Linked DNA regions of Tribolium castaneum. The protein of the gene in region 2 interacts with the protein of the main gene of each other region in a pairwise test. Links are inferred from orthologs where the notes say so. Each region holds a gene or a part of one and is shown on either strand. Other genes may lie near its edges. The genes, in order: Csl4 and exosome complex component MTR3.

What was found.
Region 1: the proteins of exosome complex component MTR3 (region 2) and Csl4 interact in a two-hybrid assay, tested with the Drosophila melanogaster proteins (2 studies listed by BioGRID). The link is inferred for Tribolium castaneum from reciprocal best matches to the Drosophila melanogaster genes Mtr3 and Csl4.

The regions. Positions count from the first base shown.
Region 1 is NC_087401.1:17,299,364-17,302,498, reverse strand, and holds Csl4 (exosome complex component CSL4), read left to right. Parts: upstream 1-1,541; 5' UTR 1,542-1,628; intron 1,629-1,684; 5' UTR 1,685-1,841; coding exon 1,842-2,432; 3' UTR 2,433-2,488; downstream 2,489-3,135. Other genes in the region: protein HGH1 homolog, read right to left, coding at 201-1,201, 1,248-1,335.
Region 2 is NC_087396.1:13,656,003-13,659,397, forward strand, and holds exosome complex component MTR3, read right to left. Parts: upstream 1,581-3,395; 5' UTR 1,441-1,580; coding exon 1,278-1,440; intron 1,224-1,277; coding exon 538-1,223; 3' UTR 513-537; downstream 1-512. Other genes in the region: X-ray repair cross-complementing protein 6, read left to right, coding at 1,882-3,395.

The DNA.
Region 1 (3,135 bases), on a different chromosome or scaffold from region 2:
AAAAATGAATGAAAAGTTACCGTTTCTAAACAAAAACTCAAATATTGCGCAAAATTTCTAAATAATTTAATTGTTATGGAAACGGCCAGAACAACAGTGACAACTGTTAATACAGTGAAACTTCTGTCACCCGAACTAATTCGTCCGAAATTATATATTTTTGAAATATATAGAAAGACGAAATTTAATTGTAAAAAAATTTATTCATCTTTTAAAAACTGCTCATCCGCTTTATTGAAGTCTTCGCTTAAACTTTGGGGCACTTTAAGTGTCTTCAAATCATCTTCTCCAATTTCCTCCTCGGTGCGTATCAAAATATCGACCAAATTTTCACACGCTAAAAGCACCTTTCTGTCCTTTTCCCACTTGTGCAACTCGCGCAAAATCACATAAGTGTTTCTCTCTCTGATAAATTCTCGATTTTTTCTCTTGGCACATAACTGGGTCAAAGCCTCCAGTAACATGCACCTGATATCTGGATCTTCTTCACGCTGTTTCTCCTCCGGGAGATATTGCAGTTCAAGGGGGAGCTTGTCGTTGTCTTCGTCGTCAAATTCCTCGTTTCCGGCCAGGGGGCGGAGCAGCCGGGGCAAGATATCGACATGGGGGCCCAAGAGCAGCTCATGACACTCGGGGTCAAATGTGCAGTTACGCAGGGCCCCCACGACGCCCCCGCGCCTCACGGCCGACTCCTCGAATTCAATGAAAGGCACGAGTTTGTGGATCCGGTCCAGGAAGCGTCTCCGGACGCGCCCACTTTGCGACAAGTTCGAAAAAAGGGGGCTCAAGTAGTGGAGGTTAGCCCCCGCTTTATTGTACTGTTTTTTCGTGAAAATGTCAATCAAATCGTCCAAACTTGCGCTTTTCTCAAGCGCATCAATCACTTTATCGTGATTGGCCCGAGATAAGTTCGATAAAATCATGCAGGAAAAATCGGCGATTTTACTCATGGGGTCCGTCACGAATTTAACAACAGTCGAAGTAATGTCACTCGGGGGGCTCTGTAAAGGGGGGCACCCCACACTCGTGTCCAAATCAAGCAATGCCAGGGCCCCCTTGTGATCAGCAGAGACATTAACAAGGCAAAGTGCCGAGTCTTTGACAATTGTGGCGTTATTATCACTCAAAAGTGTGATTAAGGAGACCAGAAGTGACGGTGTGTTGATTAATGTGGCAATTCCGTCCGCATTCCCCGTCAAACCTACAAAAAAATTACAAAAAACAAGTCTAACCTCGAACCCTATTACCCAAAATGTGCCCCAAAGCCACCGATTTGAGGTCCAAACGGGCCCCCAGATGCACAAACTGCAACAATTCGGCCACGGAATCACCCATTATCAGGCTAAAGCCCCCAAAAAAAAACAAAACACGAGGGGTGACAGCTGTCAAAAAAGTGGGGTTAGGTGGCAAAAAATCATTCTAATAAGTAAGGCATTATTTTTTTAGGTTTATCTCTACGTTGTATGTATATACAGGGTGTAATGAGTAGTTAAATAAACATAACATAAACCAGTTTATTTAATTCTGTAGCCAAATTAATGGTCGTAATTGGTAATTAATGTTAATTAATGAATGAGAAAGTAAAATTTTGCAAATTCGTTTTTTGACAATTGACAGTGACACTTGACGTAACCTCAAAAAAATCAAAAATTTCGTTTTTGTGCTGATTTTTCGCATGTTATAGCTCCTTGTGTGCCTTTGATTGGCTTTGAACGTCGTCTGCCGTGATAATAATATTGACAGTAAAAGGAACACGCAGTTTTTGAAATTTCTTCATGTCAATTGACATTTGACTTAACCTCAAAAAAAATCAAAAATTTCGTTTTTTGTTGATTTTGGGCATGTCATCGCCCCTTGTGTGCCTCCCGGGGCAGCGGCTGTGCCTGTCGGACCCCTCGCACGTGTCCGGTCAAGGCACGTACGAGCGTGGGGGCTACATCTACGCCACCCTTGCCGGTGTTGTGGACATTGTCCCCAAAGACAACGTCCAGATCATTGAAGTGCGCAGTTCCGGGCAGGAAACGCTCGTGCCGTCACAGGGCGACATCGTCACAGCGCAAATTCACACAATCACGCAGCAGTTTTGCAAATGCTACATTAAGTGTGTCGGGGATAAGGTTTTGGGGCGGCAGTATCGCGGGATTTTGCGGAAGGAGGACGTGCGAGCGACGGAGAAGGACCGCGTGGAGATTTACAAGAGTTTCAGGCCCGGGGACGTGATTCTGGCGAGGGTTTTGCCGATCACGGAAGCTCACACTTATCAGTTGTCCACGGCTGAGAATGAGCTGGGGGTCGTGACGGCGCACTCGGAACATGGGGGGCTTATGGTGCCTGTGAGCTGGACGGAGATGCAGTGCTCCAAGACGTTTGTGAAGGAGGCCAGGAAGGTTGCAAGAGTTGTGCCAGAAAGCGTGCAAAATGATGTGAAATAATGTTCAATAAATTGTATTTTTGTTTATTTTAATAAACCCTTTTGCGTCCCTTAAAAGTGCAAAAAAGTTAATTGAACTATTAGAGATAACCCTATAAAGTTTATAATCGTTGGAAAGCTCTTTGGATTATCTATTTTTTTCAAAAATGATTATTGTTCTCCGACTAATAGTTTTCGAGAAAATTGCAAGCAAAAGCAAAAATTGGAAACATTAAAAAAATCATAACTAAAAAACTATCGGGAATTTGGCGATTTTCTCGATGTCAATCGATTTCCCGGATCATTTTGCATAGGTAAGGATCAAAATAGTTCCACTTTTTCGAATAGTTTAGCCGTAATTCGATAAAAATTGAAAAACTTAAAAAATCACGCTGCTTCCTGAAAAACGTGCTCAAAAAACTTAAAAATAAACGCAGGCGCGAAAATTTGAATTTGAACCTAATTCTTTAAATATCTCGGAAACTAAGCGTTGGGCGCAATTTTGTTCTATGAGAGAAAAGATGCAACTTGATGTAGTCTAAGCGACGGTCTGGTTGAAATTGTAATTTTCAATAGTCATTTTGCTATCTCTTTAAGGAGCCATAAAAGACCTACACATTTTTGTGTTTTTGTAATGTCCAGTTCAGGCGGTGAAGTTTGAGGGGTCACTCGATGGGGTTTATATTAGTTTGAAAAACCCACCCTTATATTTTTTTTCAACTTTT
Region 2 (3,395 bases):
CCCATACACTGTTTTGCATCTTCAACCGTATTCCCAGCATTTTGATAAATATGGGACAGTGCGCAAAGAATTAACGCTCAATTTACGTTCCATTTTATATTTTTGCGAATGCTGCGAATATGGTTGAAGATACAAAAAATTGTAAAGAAGTAATTTTTTTTCAAAAAGTCTAGGACATCATATTTCTATACTTTCAACGGTTTAATTTCTGAATTTGACCACCACGGAGACCAAGAAAAAAATTAAAAAGGTATTATTTTTTATTCGTTTATTGTTTGAGCAAAATCTTAAATTCTTCCAATACTACTTTGAAGTGTATGTCAAGAAGTACTTCTCAGTATAAATTATATCGTGTTGAAAGTGTTTAAAAAAGACTGAATTACTAAAGTCTGTATTATTGGTTGCATAACATCCCAAAGTTCTCATACTTCGCGAATTTTTTTTTGTTTTTTTAACTCCATATTTGTAATAAAAATTCAACTTTAGTGCCTTACTTGACAGTGAAAAAAATATTTAAATAAAATATAATTTATTTCTTTAATCTTCAACAATTCTTACACTCTTAATAACATGTTTCACAAGACATTTCTTAACTAAAGTAACGATGTCCTTAGCAGCATTAGTAAGCATCTCAATGCCTGAACTCAAGCAAGCGTACGACAAATATCCACTCTGATAAAATTGTGAAATTTGCTCATGTGTCGCTAAAACCGACAGCACAACAATCCCGTGATTGTTTTCCTCTTCTTTAAACAGAGGAACTTGACATAAACGTTCTTCTTCTAAAGTTGGATCGACCAAAAGATGATTCCCTTGCACAGCTAAAGTCACTGACGTTATTAAATCATACATTGGAATCCCAGCATGTGCTAAGGCGACCCCAGCTGCCGTGATAGCCGCACTTAGAGCAGCCCCATCATTGTGCAGCACCATTGCGTAAATATCGACTTGAAAATTCGGAAACTCGTGCCTGAATACTGCCGATTCCAACGCTTGTTTCATAATAGCACTGAACTGTTGTTCCTCAGCGTCTTGCTGGTGCAACCTACGTTTGTGGCAGCTGAAGGGTGCAAATTTAAACTCGCAGTAGATTTCGCCCTTGGAACTGTAGTCAGTTTTGTTGGGTATCTCGCGGGGGTCGAATACAGACACGATTACTTTGGTTTGGTCTAATTCAATGTACGCTGAGCCTTTGGCCTGGCTAACAACCCCAGTTTTCAAGACTAGAAAATTAAAAATTAGATCAAGGAACACGCAAGGGCCTAAAGACAAATTACATATTTTTCGATGTTCGGTTGATGTCCTGCCATCGGCTCGTGTCCCATTCGGCTGCACTATTTCACTGAATTGGGTTTTCAACGATTTTGTATTTAATTTGTCGAATAGTTGGTACGGAATTGAAATTTCCGGACCGTTGATTCTTTTGTGATCCACGGGCATAGTGTATTTTGCAAATTATATTTTAAATCTCTCAGTTCAAGGTTATGTTAGAAAAAAGTAAGGTTATATAGCTAATTGTCAACCATTCCAAGTTCAAGGTTTACAAGTCTCACAAAGTCGAATAATAGAAAACACAATTAATTTAATTCTTTTTCATAAAAACTACGTTAGGCGCGTATTAATTTGTGCCGTTGTACAGCAACATATAGTTAGAGTAAATGTTAGACTTATTTATTCGCATTTTTGGATTTATGTTTTCTGGTGGTTCGCTTTCAAGGGGATTGTCAACAAAACGTCAAATTTGGCGCAACTTTGTGTAAACTTGTTGCTGTTGTTCTTTTTGATTGTTTACTGTTAATTAATTAATCAAGGTGAGAAATGTTACTACCTATTGATAATACGTTTATAAATAAAGATGTTTTATGAACTTATTCTTTTCAGATGTCAGATAACGAAGACGTAGGAGACGAATCTGCAAGTTCTAACACGTTTTACAAACCATCTTTCGTCCTCATTGCAATCGATACCGACCCTTCGATGTTTGTTAAAAACGAAAGCGATGGCAATACCCCGTTTAAGGATTGCATTTCTGCCTGTTATAATCTGGCAAATTCGCTAATATTTGTCCAAAATAAGCGAAGCTGGAGCCCTTTTGGTGTGGTATTGGCACGTGAAGATGCTTCAGCGTCGCTTGTCAATTTCAACGATAACATCTTACAATCAATAAAATTGCTTAAAGAAAAGAATGAATTGTCGCAGGAAAAATTGTTGGATATGTATGAAAGAAAAAGCGGCTTAAATTTGAGTTCATTTTTCCTCTTTTGCAAAAAAAAGTTCAAGGAAGTCAATTCGGTGTTCTACAAAAGAACGATCATTTTCATAACCAACGACGATAACCCCGTTCGTGGTGACAAGAACCAAAGATTTGCTGCACTTAACGAAGCAAAAAATTTCGAGTCTAATGATATCACTTTCGAGTTGGTGACCATGAAGCCCAACTTCGATTATAAAATTTTCTACAATGAGTTATTTTCAATCATTAAGAGCCCTCCCGTTGAGACAGTTGTGGAAGATGAAGATGGTTTATTTGAGAAACTTTCTTCCTCAGTTGTCAGGAGATTTTATCAAAGGAGGTTGCTGTTTTTCCCTTTTGCGAATGACCAAACACGGTTTCTTAAAATCAGGCAGAAGTCGTTTGTCCAAGAGGAACGACTTTACAACAACGCTTCCGTTTCCGAAAGTGGAAAACTTTTGAAAAAGGTTTCAAAAACAGTAAATGACTCCATTGAAACCTACAAGCTTGACTATGAGTTAGGCTCACTCGAGTTCAGTGTTAGTGAACGCTTCAAAATTAGAAACACAGACCTACCAATTGGTTACACCCTAGTTCAGGTGTCTGACAGGGTCACGGATGTGGGCATTGTTTTGACAAACCCGGTAATCATCGAGGTGGATCCTAAGGAAGAGCTGGACCTCTTTGCTAGTTTTTGGCAGTATTGTGTGGAAAAGAACAAAGTTCTTGTCTGTTTCCGAAAATTGAAAAAGCTTGATAAAATTTGTTTCGTGGAATTTATCCCGAAGTTTATGAACAATAGCAGGGTTTTTGTCGCTAAAACAATTCCATTCAATGATGATCACCAACCCATCCCAAGTGCTCTCGCCTCTGAGGAGCCAAACGAAAGTTTTTCCAAGAAAATGCTCCAAACAACCAATGAACTAATTGATAATCTAACGTTCGACTATGACCCCAAAATGTTTACCAATCCTTCCCTCACCAAGAAAAAGGCTTATTTGAGGTCCAAGCTGCTTGAAGAACCTCAGGAAGATGTTGAAGATGTTTCGCTAGACAGTGCTGCGATTGATAAGAGGTTGGGTGACTTGGGAGCAAGTTTCAAAATGTTGTTTGGTTTGGAAGAACAGACTGCGCCAAAGAGGAAGGCCCCTGCCTCTGGAAG